Tamandua tetradactyla: one gene and its partner. The protein of the gene in region 1 interacts with the protein of each later gene in a pairwise test. Links are inferred from orthologs where the notes say so. Each region holds a gene or a part of one and is shown in the gene's direction. Other genes may lie near its edges.

Region 1 (7,386 bases):
TTGAAAATATTAAAATTCAATTCCTGGGCGGGCCACGGTGGCACAGGAGGCAGGAATGCTTGCCTGCGATGCCAGAGGACCCGGGTTCGATTCCTGGTGCCTGCCCATGTTAAAAAAAAAAAAAAAATTTCCCCCCAAGTTAATATATAAATGTAGTGAAGCCTCAATAAAAAATTTAACAAAAAAAAAATTCAATTCCTAAGTTGTGCTAGTCATATTTTAAATGCTCCAAAATAGTCTGTATGTGACTAGTGCTTACTATGTTGGGCAGTGCAGATAATAGTACATTTCCATCATCACAAAAGTTCTATTGTAAAGCACTTTTTCATAGAATTTGAGTTCTGTAGCAGTGAGAAGATCAGAAAAGTAGTAACACTTTATGGGAGGGAGCTGGTTGATTGAGGGGAGAGGAGATGGAAAAGTGGAGTGGGAAACATTTCCAATCTCCTTACTGAGCATCCCTCTATTCATATCTGCCTTTCTATTTTTTTTTTCAATTTTTCAATTAAAAAATAAATATAACAATGAACAACACAAACGTTCTTAGCATATGATCATTCCATTTGCCTTTCTCTTTTAACAGCATTTTTAATCTTCTGATGGCCTAATTTTTTTTTTTTTCCAAGCCATTCAGTTTGCAAGTTTTTCAGTTTTTGTATAACAGCTTTTTCTTTTAGTTGTTTCCATCTGGTCATATTCTCATTACCTCTTCTTAAACTCTTGCTCAACCCTTTAACTCTTCAGTACAGAAACAGAGTCCTGCTCATGTCACTCCCTTGCCTTAAGAAATCTTTGCTGGTTTTAAAAATAAACTGGGCTTTTTTTTTTTTTTTACAAGTCCCTTCCCTAGGAAGATAATGAAAAAGGTGGAAGAACATTGTTTTTCTTCCAGAATCCAAATCTTTTGTATAGAGAATTGTAGTTGAACTAGGTTATGGGTTATATGGGCTTTTGTGAACTAATTCGGAAACTTTATTTCACTTAATATAATATTATTATGGGAAAATAAATTATGAGTTATACATAGCATGTACCTTTGAAGTCTAGTTCAGTAAGTTGATGACTGCATTTATTTTTGGAGTTGACTGATAAATATTTGGTAGTTGATTTTTAAGCTAGTACAAAGGTATTTCCTTGGGAAATAAAATATTTATTATGGTGAGTTTTGTGTTTTGATGTTTATTTCTGATTTTGCAGAGAAAATGTTTTACTTTAGGCACTGTTGAAAATGTTGGAGATTACTGCTTATATGCTTTTGTAATGCTGCTTATATGCTTTTGTAACATGAATTTTCTACAAGTGTTATCCAAAAGTAACGCTTCCACACATGCATCATTGAACTGTGTTACACTGATACCAGAGGCAGTGGTGTTTTACCAAGAACCTACCCTGACACAGGTATAAGAGTTTCATAATGCTTTGGTATTTGAATGGGACTTTTACAGAGGCATTTTTAGTTAGCAGTTGTTTATGGCTAGCCTTATTTATTCTCTGTCCCTTTTTGAGTATGAGCATATAAGAAAATCATGGGATAGATTTCATTCTAACATTGTTGCAGCATTCCTTGTTTTAGAGAAATCATTGCTTCATTATTTCCAGAGAATGAATTCAAGTTTAACCATTCTGTATGAAAAAACATTTTGCACTTTCTTAATATATGGTCTTAAGAGCAAATGTTTTTGGTATATGAGTAAGGTAATAATACGTTTCTTTCAGGCTTGTTATACTAATGTGAAAAGAAGCAGCTCTATGGAGTAATGGAAACATGGGAAAAAATCATTGTTGATTATAGTGAAACTGCAAATAATGAACTTCTACTGCTTAAAGTATAAAGTCCCATCTTGTCAGTTAAGAATCAATAGTCCCTTGTCTTCTCCCTGCAAGGCCAGGGCAGATAATATCAGTGTGTGTGGCAGGTTCTGTGTAAGACAGTAGGTTGGGTTGGAGATGGGGGCAAAAAAGAGACGGAATATTCTGTCTCAAGGAAGCTATTGCTTCTTAATTTTGGCTTTAAAGCACCATGGTTTTTGCCATGTATGAATCATGTGGTCAGGGCTTTTTGATCTTAAGACCCCTTTACAGCCTTAAAATTTATTGACTTCGAAGGCCTTTTGTTTATATGAGTTATTTTGGTCAAAATTTGTGGTATCAGAAATTAAAACGAAAGTTTAAATTATTCGTATTAAAATAATCCATTTCATGTTAGCATAAATAACACATTTTTAAAAATTAATTATATTTTTATGAAATAAATTAGGGGTATATTATTTTATATTGTTGCAAATCTCTATTGTCTACCATAATAGAAGATAGCTGAAGTCTCAGATATGCTTCTGCATTCATTCTGTTGGGATGCATTGTTTTGATTAAAGTATATGAAGAAAATCTGGTTTCATGCAAATATAGAGTTAGAAAAGGGAGCAGTACTTGTTCAGATAAAAATATTCTTTCTTAATTCTATATTAGAACTTGATTAGTTGCAATGTGTAATCAGAATCACATATATCATCTTTTCTTACTGTTACGTTAAAATCCATTGTCAGTTTTGCCCTTTGAATAGATCTTTTGCCCATGCGTGATTTTTTAACATTGTGCATGTTTATTGGAAAATATTTTCTTCCAACTGTTGGATAAATATCTATGGTCTAAAAAACATATCTGTTAATATCATCACTTATCTCACCAGATTAAGCCTTAAGTGTTGTGGAGACATCAAGCATACTGGCAGAGGAAACAAGTTTTCCAAAGTTCAGATTTTTGCTTTAAATCTGGAAATTAATCATTGACAACAAGCACTCTCATTTGTTTTCTTTAAATTGAATGTGTTACGTTGTCTGTTTTCGAGAAAATGTTTTCCTAATACTCAAATCTGAACAACTATAGTTTGTAGTTTTCATGGAAGTAAAAATGGCGTTCCATGAAAAAGCAGCTAGTTCACCTTGTACTCACACATTGTACTAGTGTTTTTTTGTTGTTGTTGTTAGAAATTCACATGCTCTAGATATACAGCAGAAGTAGTTTATACATACTTTCTATTGCAACACATAGACTTAAAAGAACATGTAAGTCATAATTTAATAAAATTGATTTTTGCCTTTTCATCAAGAACATTCTTTGGTGAAACTGTTTTGTTTTGCTTTTTAATAGTGAGTATGCATGTATGTAATACAGTGGATACTCATACAGTTTGGTGCTTCTGCCTTTATTTATGCTAAGTTGCAGCAGTTTACCTACTATTGTTTTTTATCATCTGTACATATGTAACCACAGGCACAGAACATCTTAATATTATTATCCCATCCACTTAAATGTAAGGTAATAACAGATATTTTTCTTTTTTCTTTCTCTTCACATTGTTTTGTAACCTGTTACCTCTCTCCTACGTAATAGTTTTCCACGGTCCCTATCATTGTTTAAATGACAATGGGAATATTTCTTATTGTCATTTTATGAGTTAAAAATGTTGATCAATATATATTAGAAGATTGGCTTAAAAAGAAGTTTTATATAAGGTGGTAAAAGCTATAGACTTTATTTTTTGTAAGAAGAAGAGTAGCATTAAAGCTACTTAACTTTTGTTGAAAGAGGAACAATTTCATTTATTTGTAAATTTCTTTGTTTTCACCTGAAATAAAAGTTTTGTTTGACATAAAAAGGACTGCATGATATAAAACAATTCAGATGGGGCAGAAGTATTTAAAATAGGAAATGAAAGTTCTTTACCTTTTCATAATTATCTTCATTGAAATTAACCACACTTAACAGTTTGACATTTCGTTTCAGAATTAAAAATTGTATATATAAGCATATATCTGTGGTCAAGTAGTTTCTGAAACAGTTTTCAAGGGCTCAGTTGTTAATTATCATAATTTGTTAAATAATGTTTAAGTGGTAGTGTAGACAAATTGTAATGTTAATGTCTTTGAAAAAATAGTTGCTAAAGCTGATGAGGTATTTAATTGTGTACATTTGGGTTAATTTTAGAACTCATAGATATAAATATTTAGTTGTGTTGATTTCAATTTTTGTTGGTAAGGAAAATGTCTGCTAGTCTTCCTTTTAGCTTCTAGTCAGAGATCATAGAGTAAATCCTGAGATTCTTCTGCAATGAAGAATATTTTTGTTGCTTCAGATATATTTTAAAGAAAAAGATTAATTAAAGTATAACCAATTTAAAATGTTTTCATTCTCTTCAGAGAGGCTCTTATAAAGAAATACAGAATTAAGTTGATATTGACTTTGGTTCAATAGCATATATTTGATATTTGATAAGAATTACTTTTCATTTTGTTTGACTTTTAATTTTGAGAAAGATAATTTTGCTTTTCAGATGTCATTGATCTCACTGGAGATGATAAAGATGATCTTCAGAGGGCAATTGCCTTGAGTTTGGCAGAATCGAACAGGGCATTCAGGGAGACTGGAATAACTGATGAGGAGCAAGCCATTAGCAGGTAAAAAGTATAATTTATATAAAGCAAATGTAAATACTATAACGGAAATAATAATTGGCTTTAATTTTAAAAGGCAATAAGATATACTTTATTACTCTAAACAACTATTAATATACTTCTATATTACTTTTATGTTTTATGTAACCAAAATTTTCATATTTTAATTCTGATTGTGATTGAAACTTTACTTTTAGGATTTGAGAGTAGTCTTTTAGAGGATTAAATTTAAGACTGTGTTTTAATAATTCTCCATTTTTTTCTTCCCTTTAGTTCCTTTTTGGATATACTGACCAATTTCAGCTTCCAGTCATTATTAACAGGGGTGTTTACTCTTAAGGACCAAGAGTAAATATTTTAGGCTTTGGTGGGCCATATTCATTTTGTTGCATAGAGGTGAATGAGCAGGACTGTGTCCATTAAAACTTAATTTATAACAACAGCTGCCCGCTGGGTTTGGCACCTGGACTGTAGTTTGCTGACTGGCAATCTGTAGTATGTTTATAGAGTATTTTCTTTTTAAGAAATCCAAGCTGTGTGATATAGTGTATTTTTTAAAATTTAATAGCCTAAACTTTTCACTTTGAAGCAGTTTGATTCACCTATGGATCAAATAGATGAATTTGGTTTCATCACTAAGAAATGTTTATTCTATTTTATTTTTTTTATTAATTTAAAAATTTTTTTTAAAATACCAAAAAAACACCAAACGCAGACATTCGCAATTTTTGATCATTCCATTCTACATATGTAATCAGTAATTCACAATATCATCACATAGTTGCATATCATCATCATGATCATTTCTTAGAACAATTAAATCTATTCAGAAAAAGAAATAAAAAGAAAACGGAAAAAAATTCATGTATACCATATACCCCACCCCTCCCCCTCACTGATCACCAGCATTTTACTCCAAATTTAGAAATGTTGATTTTAAAAAAACGCTTTAGATTATAACTAAGTATAATCTTCTAAATAGCTGTTGTGGGCAGTGATAATTCTATTTTACTGAAGAAGAAATTTAGCTTAAGAGGTAAAATGATTTTCTAAAGAAGCACAGCTCATATGGATCTGTTCGCTCCAGTGCTTTTTCACTGTAACACAATAGGTTAGTAGCAGAATGTTCTAGTTTTCTCAGATAATATTGACACCATATCAATAGCAAATTTTTTTTCTAAATAATCTGAGATTACTTTATGGTAGGAGATAACCTTGAAATGCTTCCTTTAGCAAAGTCATATTCTTTATAAATTTTAATTTTACTTTTTAATATCTCTAAATATTACTTTGGAAACTTGTAAGACATTTATATTAAATGGGAAGATGTAATTAAAATTTGTTGTCCCCCTTTGAATTGTAGCTAATATCATTTAATTTTAATGTAAAACCAAAAATGTGTAGTCAGTCTTTCTTGGGCCATTTTAATTAGTTTTATTTTGTGAAGGGTGGATAAATTATATAAACTAGATTTTGACTTTTTTTAAGAAGTGAATGGAATGAAATAATTCTAGAACAGTTATATAGCCTGACAATGTTAAACTTTGATGACAAATATTTTAAACATGAAATAAATCAGTTGGATTTTATATTAAAGAGAAATGATGATGTTATGTGAAAAAGAGGTTATAAAATAGAATAGACTATGTAATATGCAATTCTTTTTTTTTTTTTTTTTTTTTTTTTTGGTGCATGGGCAGGAACTGGGAATTGAACCTGGGTTTCCGGCATGGCAGGCAAGAACTCTGCCTGCTGAGCTACTGTGACCCGCTCAGCAATTCTTATTTTAAAGATTATGTGCTTATTTTTGTTTATATGAATTTATATTAGCATAAAATAGAAAAAATTCTGTAAATGTATGTACCAAATCAGCAGTTCTGTTTTGTGTGTTCTCTAATAATCTGGAAACAGCATGTAATAGAGAATAAAAGGCAAAGCTAACTTCAGAGTTGAAAGATTAAGACTATTTTCTAATCCAGTATTGTTTATTCTAATCTAATACATATATATTGTTTGAGATCCTCATTTTTGCTGGATTGAAAAGAAAATCTCTAAAGACAGTGCTCTTTTTCATTCATTGTCTTTTAAATTTTAACTTACTTTAGTTAATCCATTTTTACTAATATTTAAACATTTTAAATAGTTAAATCAAAATATTAATTGCTAAAATAGTAAATATTTAAATATCTTTATTGTACATGATGTTACAGAGATTCAGCATCCTGTAATATTACTGAGATTACTGGATAGTAAAGTTAAATCAATATGTATGAAGTTAAATCTATGTGTATATTTAAAAATTTGTGACTAAATGTTAAATACAAAATGTGTGGTTGATAAGCACATATATAAATAATATTGTAGCAGAAAAAAGAATGTGAAAATTTTAGCTAAAAATTTGGCAAAGAAGTATTGTTCCTGTGAGTTTTATTAAAGTATAGTACTCTTAAGTTCAAAAGTAAAATAAAAATACTTAATCTATCCTAGTCTTATATTAATATAAATTAAAAAGCTAAAGATGAAAAGAACCGTTTCAAATGTATATACATCAAGATGCCAAGGTTATTATAAAAAATGTACTTTAGTTATAAATGGTAGATTATGTAAAATTAATTTTGTGTCAGCTTTATTTGCTTTCAATGAATTTGCCCAAATCTAATATTAAACATTGAAAAGACTCAAGTTTTAATGACAAAAAGTTCTATTTTCCCTATTAAAAACCGGTTTTATTTTCCCTGTTAGTACATAATACCCTGTTTTTAATGCACAACTTCTTTTTAGGATAAATTTGAATGTATGGATGATTAGGTTTATTTTACACAACAGTCATAAGACAGACTTTTAGTACCCATATCTGAAGGTAATTAAATATGTATTCAAATTCAACTAAGATCCAAGAAGCAAAAGTCATGATTTCTATCTTGGACCAATGCAG
Region 2 (7,474 bases), on another chromosome or scaffold:
TATAGTACAGCAACTTTAAAATTTTCATTGCTGGTTTGCAGACAGGTGTGATCCCATGTGCTTTTCTCTTGGTTTTATAAGTGTAGATACTTGGTTACAGGAATTTTTAGACCGCTGCATTTTTTTTTTTTTTTTTTTAAAGGAAAGACAGAGAGAAGGAAGGAAGGAAGGAAGAAAGGGAAACATTTTTAAACATTTTCTTGTTTTATTGTATTCTGTTTCTCCGTTTTTGTTACATGGGCTGGGGCCGGGAATCGAACCGAGGTCCTCCGGCATAGCAGGCAAGCACTTTGCCCGCTGAGCCACCGCGGCCCGCCCTAGACCGCTGCATTTTTAAGAAACAAGTTTCCTTTTCGTAAAGAGGAATTGAGGGCTTGCAGTGGTGGGCAGCTTCTGGCTTCTGACCACACCTGCTTCCCACCTAGGACCCGACATCTGTGGTCCCGGCACCAAGAAGGTTCATGTCATTTTCAACTACAAGGGCAAGAACGTGCTGATCAACAAGGACATCCGTTGCAAGGTGTGTCTGAGGGGTGGGGTGGGGGTTGGTGGGGGGAAGGGCAGGAATCCGGGAGGGCGGGACTGCTCACCTCCCACCCTCCTCAGGATGATGAGTTCACACACCTGTACACACTCATCGTGCGGCCCGACAACACGTACGAGGTAAAGATCGACAACAGCCAGGTGGAGTCGGGCTCCCTGGAGGAGGACTGGGATTTCCTGCCCCCCAAGAAGATTAAAGATCCCGATGCCGCCAAGCCAGATGACTGGGATGAGCGGGCCAAGATTGATGACCCCACAGACTCCAAGCCCGAGGTTGGTGCCTGGACAGGGACCACCACTGTGAAAGGGGTGGTGGACATGTGGGCTCACTCTGATGTCCTCGTGGTTCCCCGACTCTCCCCCCCTAGGATTGGGATAAGCCTGAGCACATCCCCGACCCTGATGCAAAGAAGCCTGAGGACTGGGACGAAGAGATGGATGGAGAGTGGGAACCGCCAGTGATTCAGAACCCTGAGTACAAGGTGAGCTTGGGTTCCAAGTAAGGGCTGGGGTACAGGGTGGGGAGGGCACCGGCCTCTGTTCACCATGCCATTCTCTTCTTCCCCAGGGCGAGTGGAAGCCCCGACAGATCGACAACCCAGATTACAAAGGCAAGTGGATCCACCCAGAGATCGACAACCCTGAGTACTCCCCTGACGCCAACATCTACTCCTACGACAGCTTCGCTGTGCTGGGCCTGGACCTGTGGCAGGTGCGACCCAGAGTGGGAGGAGGATCCTGGGGGCACCTCAGGTCACCTGCGAGGGAAGGGACAGGGTAGGATTCAGACCCAGGCAGGCCCGACTGGAAAATGCTTTGAGAGCCCTGTTGCTGTGAGGCCCTTCCTGAACCTTTACAGTCCTAAAGGCACTTATTGAGTGCCAGGGCTCTCCCTGAGTACCTGTCATTCCCTCCACCAATCTCGGGGGTGGTCAAGCAGCCCTGTTAGAAAACTTTGCTTTGCTAGCAGTGGCAGAAATTTGAAGTCGCCAGCCTAAGGCCATACAGGCGGGAAGGGGCAGAGCTGGATTGGAACCCACCCCTTGTGGGTCTCGCAGCCCCCATTTTTTAACTGCAACTTTAGCTGTGCTGCTTGGTCCATGAGGTGCTTCTTGACTGCTGCAGAGATGCGGCGGCATCTAGTGGTTACAGGAGCACCGCGGGTGGGAGTTTTCCCAAGGCCAGGGCCGTCTTGGGTAACCCACTCCTCACTCCATTCACCCCCAGGTCAAGTCTGGCACCATCTTTGATAACTTCCTTATCACCAACGATGAGGCGTACGCCGAGGAGTTCGGCAACGAGACGTGGGGTGTCACGAAGGTAGGATCGGGCTCCCCCTACCCAGGTTTGAGGGAGCAGACGCAGGGCTGGCGAGTGGGGCCTGGGCACTGAGGCAAAGGCTCTGTCCCCCACAGGCTGCAGAAAAGCTCATGAAGGACAAGCAGGACGAGGAACAGAGGCTAAAGGAGGAGGAGGAGGAGAAGAAACACAAAGAGGAGGAGGAAGCGGAGGACAAGGAGGAAGAGGAGGACAAAGAGGAGGAGGAGGAGGAGGAGGAAGAGGACAAAGAAGAAGAGGAGGAAGATGCTGCCGCTGGCCAGACCAAGGACGAGCTGTAGAGGCCACGCCGCCCGCCTCCGGGGCTGGACTGAGGCCTGAGCGTGCCCGCCACAGCTGGCCGCTCCAAATAATGTCTCTATGAGACTGGAGAACTTCTCATTTTTTTCCAGGCGGGTTTGGATTTGGGGTGTGGTTTATTTTTTGTTGTTGTTGTTTTGTTTATTTTGTTCCCTCCCTGCCACCTCCCCCCAACCTTTTTTTTTTTTTTTTTTTTTTTTTTACCATGCCTTGTTTTTGATGCTCTCTACATCAGCCCCCACCCTTTGGCTTTCATCTTTTTTGATTGACATCTTTTCCTTCCTATGTCCTCTTCCTCTATCCTTTCATTTCCCTCCAGCCTGGGGGGAGGGGGTGGGCATGTGTGGAGAAGTGCCAGGTCTGAGATTCCATCTGCTCCCCTCCCTGTAGCAGGAGAAAGAGTGTGACATCCCCAGGCCCTCCAGCACTGAGGAAATTTGGGGCTCCTAAGACCGTCCCCCCAACCCTTTCCCCTTTTCCTCTGCTACTAGCACTGGGCCACTTCTGGGCGGGGCAGCGGGTTCCAGCTCAGCTCTCACAGAATGTAAAACTACAAACAAAATTTCTATTAAATTAAGTTTTGTGTCTCTCTTCGGTGTCTCCTTCTGGGAAGAGAGCAGAGATCCAGGGATCCAGAGATGGCATTTCTTGGGGAGGAGTGGCTCCTGAGTAAGGAGTTGTCTCAACATTTTTAGCTGCTAAGGAGACAAGGTTGCAGGGACCCTTGCTTGCCAGGCAATCCCAAACCAATAGGAGACTCAACTATTAAAAAGTATTCCATGTAACAACTCAATTCCTTGGACCAAACCTGAGTTTTGGTTCTAGTACCAGTTTGCTTTGATAGGTGAGGAGACTGTGGCACACAGAATTTAGTAATAGGGCTGGGTTTGAACCCACACCATAATCATCATAAGCTGAAAACAGTGGTTTGGCGCTTTAATAAACAGTTTTAATACCAGCCAGTGTGGTTAAAAGCTATCACTTCTTTTTATAATTGAATAAATAGGTTCAGAGATAAAACTTGACAAAGTTTCTCCCTATGATTTTCAGAGGCCAAGTTGGGATTTGAACTTGAAGGGCATGGACCAAAGGGAGAGGCTTGAGGTGGCATTGGGCCTCCGAAACTGACCTAGAACCCCCAACAGCTGTGCTGTCAGGGAAGTGAAAGTCCATTGAGCCGGTTGGAGAATAGGAGAAGGCCGGTGTTCCCTGTTGCAGAAGAAAAGGATAAGATGTCAGCTGGCCCTGGCCTGACCCTATTCTGGCCAATGCTGGTGGAACCTTATTGGCTCCAGTGAAGGGAGAAGCAGCAGGACCTGGTTACAGTTTGATGATGGCCATGAAGTGTCAGGTTTGGTTGAATAGCAAAAGGGGCAGCTTTGGAGGTATCTTGAGGTTGCAACTCTGTCTTCCACCTCCTGGTCTGCACTTGGGCCTTTTGCCCACTGATTGGGAGTTCAAGACCAGCTTTGTCTCTATCCAGCCCCCCAAAGCAACCGTCAGCTAAGGCAAACTGGTGCGCCTTGTTCCCTCCCTAAGTCCTTTGTATGTAGCCTGTGGCCCAGTTCAACCCCTCCTTTCTGGAAATCATGTCTTGTTCTCCAGGTGCCTCCAGGATTGCAGCACCTATGTACTCAGTGGAGAAAGGACTTGAAAACTGATGTCTTAAATATCTTGGGTTCCACTAGGGATAGTGTAGGGTTAACAAAGTTGCAGGGAAAGTAGCAGCAGAAAGGGGAGAGATCCCCCAAAAGGCAGATCCCCCTCAGCAATGAATGAATGAGGCCCCCAAAGAGGGTGTCCTGTTTCCACGCCCAGATGGATTTTTTTTAACTTTTTCATTTCTTGGTGATCTTCCAAGGATCCTTTCCAATCTCAAGTACCTTCCATATTCCTGGCCCCGCAGCCCGCCAGACCAAAATAATGTAAAACTCGTTTGTTAAGGGGAAAAATCCTAAAGATTTCACAGAAGAAATACAAATGTCTAATAAGTACGTGAAGAATTTTGCTCAACTTCAACAAATGAAAAAGCTCATTTGGGCGTGGAAGAGGGGACTCCGGGGCCATTTTGTGGTCGCATGACGTCACCGCTAGGGGCATGACGTCATTCACAGGAGCCACCTGACTGGCGTGTGCTCTGAGTTTGGAGCACTCCCCCGCTTCCCGCGGAAGCAAAGTTCAGTTTGCGCATGCCTGGCCCGAGAGGGCGCTGGTGCGCATGTCCACGAGGATCCGGAGGGGCGCGCGCCCCGTCTGCCCCGGAAGCGGTCGGCGCGCGGCGCGACTGGGCGCTAAGATGGCGGCGGCGTGAGTTGCATGTTGTGCGAGGATCCTGGGGCCGCCGCGTTGCTCGGGCCCCGCCATGGCCGTCACCATCACGCTCAAAACGCTGCAGCAGCAGACTTTCAAGATCCGCATGGAGCCTGACGAGACGGTGCGGGTCGGGTCGGGGCCTAGGGGCGGGAGCGACGGGTGCCGGGGCTTAGGGTGGGGGCGGGGAGACCGGGATCCTAGCGGGAGGGGCGGAGAGGACAGTGCTGGCCGGCCCTGTCCTCTCCCCCACTTGCTGGACTAACCCCGACGAACCTCCGCTGACGCGGTCTCAGACCGTGGTATCTGGGGTCGGTCTCCGGGCGAGGCCCCACCCCCGCGGCGCCCGCCAAGTTGCTACTCCAGTTCCAATGTCAGCGCCCTCACGGGGCGCGGGAGCTGCAGGCTCGGATTCCCAGTCAGACCACGCTCTCCTACACTGGTACTCTGCCTTCCCAGCACTGCAGGAGGCATTTCGGGAGGTTGGTGACCGAATCTGGGAGGGTTGACCCGGAGATGCCGACTGGTGCTGGCGACGATGACACTGATAATAAATGGTCGCAATCGTAATAGTTTCGGCGGTCCGAGTTTGTTGGCGGTTCATTGATTACCAGTTGTTGAGCGTTTCGGAAACCTTGTCTTACTAAATCTGCAAAACAGCCCTGTCGTTTTGGGGATTCTGACTCTCCCCATTTTACAGATGTGGAAACCCAGGAGTTAAAGAATTTTGCCATAGACACACACAGCAAGTAAGTGGCAGAGCTGGGATTCACATTTCGTTCTGCCTCATGTGAGAGTCCATGGTCTAAACATGATGCCCCGGTTTTAGCTGAAAGAAGATTTAGAAAACTCAAACATATTGAATGGGTAATTACATACCCAGCAGTTTTTGCACAACCACCCTGTGGAGGAGACACTGAAGTCCACTTTTTATAGAAAAGGACACAGACTGAGATTTTTTGAACAGCCCAAGGGTTTGATTTTGGCAAATTATTTAATTTCAGTTTTTTCAAACGGTAAATGTAGTTGATGTCACCTGTTTCATGCAGTTATCATGAGGCTTAGAAAGTGTGATACTACACATTTAGATTAGCACTGGCAACTTAGGAGGTTTTCAGTAAATATCAGCTACTTGTTGACCTTATTGTCCAAGGTCAGCCGCAAGGTATAGGTGACCCTCTTCTCTTTATTCTGTTTTTTTATTGTTGTAGTTTATATCATCTGAAGTGTATATTAGTGTCATGTCCGTGAGAACAGGGACTTGCGTTGGGTTTTGTTCCCTCCTGTGACCTCAGTTGTTTGTGATGTGCAGGCATTTGGTAGACACTCCACAGAGTGTCGGGATGATTGAAGGAATTCAACTCCAGCTTCTTTGTCATCAGTGCTTGCAGTCTCTCCTTTCCTAAACCAGAAGAGAAGAGGGAATCTTGGGTTTAGCAATGAGTGCCTGTACCTTTCCTTCCAGGTGAAAGTCCTAAAGGAGAAGATAGAAGCTGAGAAGGGTCGTGATGCCTTCCCTGTGGCTGGACAGAAGCTCATCTATGCTGGCAAAATCCTGAGTGATGATGTCCCCATCAGGGATTATCGTATTGATGAGAAGAACTTTGTGGTTGTCATGGTGACCAAGGTGCATAAAGGGTGCTACCTGGGAGGGCAGTTGGTTTAGCTGTGGAACTGGCTAAGGGCCCATGTGCCCAGGACAGATTAACCATAAACAGGGTGGGGCCACAATGGGACAGGATGTTGGGGCTTGATAGGGGTGCTGACACCCGCTCCCTTTCCCTGGCCGCCACAGGCCAAAGCTGGCTCAGGCACCTCGGCACCCCCAGAGACCTCCCCCACAGCTGCCCCGGAGTCCTCCACAGCTTTCCCACCAGCCCCTGCCTCCGGCATGTCCCATCCCCCACCAACCACCAGAGAGGACAAGAGCCCATCGGAGGAATCAGTCCTCACCACGTCCCCGGAATCCATATCAGGGTAAGGCAGGGGGCAGCTGCTCCGGCTTGGCCCCAGGTTTCCCAGCCCATTTTAGCGCCTGCATCTGTGGCCCCACACTCCTGGGTGGGGGAGGGCAGTATGCCAGAAGCCAGGGTCCGATTTCTCTCTCTTGAATTTGCAGCTCTGTTCCCTCTTCAGGTAGCAGCGGGCGAGAGGAAGACGCGGCCTCCACGCTAGGTGTGTGGGTGATCCCCAGGGTGGAGGCCACCAGGTTCCCCAGCCATTTGCTGGGCCTCATCTGGGTGTCGGAGAGCCTGGGCATGCCTTTCCCTCCCCCTGGTGACCCAGATTTTGCTGCTCCCTTCACAGTGACTGGCTCTGAGTATGAAACGATGCTGACAGAGATCATGTCCATGGGCTATGAGCGGGAGCGGGTTGTGGCTGCTCTAAGAGCCAGCTACAACAACCCCCACCGAGCTGTGGAGTATCTGCTCACGGTGAGGCAGGGCTGCCGCTTCCCCAAGGAGGTCTTGGGAAGAGGCAAAACCTGCTCCCAAAAGACTGGGTAGCAGGAAAGACTTCCTGCAGGAAGGTGGATGTGAGCTGTGGGGTGGGCCTAAGGAGGGCAGGGCCAAGGCCTCCCCCATCTCCTACCAGGGCAGGGCAGGGCATGCAATAGAGGGTGGCGGGAGGTCTGTGCATTAGAACTCAACAGGACCTCTGTCAGGGAATTCCTGGGAGCCCTGAACCAGAGCATGGCTCCATCCAGGAGAGCCAGGTGTCGGAGCAGCCCGCCACAGAAGCAGGTGAGGGACAGGAAAGAGGGTGGGGATGGGGTGGGGTGGTCTGCCCTCGTGGCACCTGAGCCAGCCCGTGGCTCCTGGGAGTCCTGCAAGGTCTCTGACTGCACCCCCTCCCACTGCTAGCAGGAGAGAACCCCCTGGAGTTCCTGCGGGACCAGCCGCAGTTCCAGAACATGCGGCAGGTGATTCAGCAGAACCCAGCGCTGCTGCCTGCCCTGCTCCAGCAGCTAGGCCAGGAGAAT

The links. The genes of interacting proteins can lie anywhere in the genome.
Region 2: the proteins of USP25 (region 1) and RAD23A interact in binary tests that used the Homo sapiens proteins (3 or more experiments, as listed by UniProt). The link is inferred for Tamandua tetradactyla from reciprocal best matches to the Homo sapiens genes USP25 and RAD23A.

Annotation. Positions count from the first base shown.
Region 1 is NC_135336.1:73,295,527-73,302,912, forward strand, and holds the start of USP25 (ubiquitin carboxyl-terminal hydrolase 25), read left to right. Parts: upstream 1-4,340; 5' UTR 4,341-4,454; intron 4,455-7,386. UniProt on the Homo sapiens protein: Deubiquitinating enzyme that hydrolyzes ubiquitin moieties conjugated to substrates and thus, functions in various biological processes including inflammation and immune response.
Region 2 is NC_135337.1:89,717,453-89,724,926, reverse strand, and holds the start of RAD23A (UV excision repair protein RAD23 homolog A), read left to right. Parts: upstream 1-4,432; 5' UTR 4,433-4,543; coding exon 4,544-4,615; intron 4,616-5,956; coding exon 5,957-6,118; intron 6,119-6,286; coding exon 6,287-6,468; intron 6,469-6,610; coding exon 6,611-6,666; intron 6,667-6,798; coding exon 6,799-6,926; intron 6,927-7,156; coding exon 7,157-7,235; intron 7,236-7,355; coding exon 7,356-7,474. Other genes in the region: CALR (calreticulin), read left to right, coding at 426-520, 607-816, 912-1,025, 1,112-1,255, 1,771-1,863, 1,959-2,162. UniProt on the Homo sapiens protein: Multiubiquitin chain receptor involved in modulation of proteasomal degradation. Binds to 'Lys-48'-linked polyubiquitin chains in a length-dependent manner and with a lower affinity to 'Lys-63'-linked polyubiquitin chains.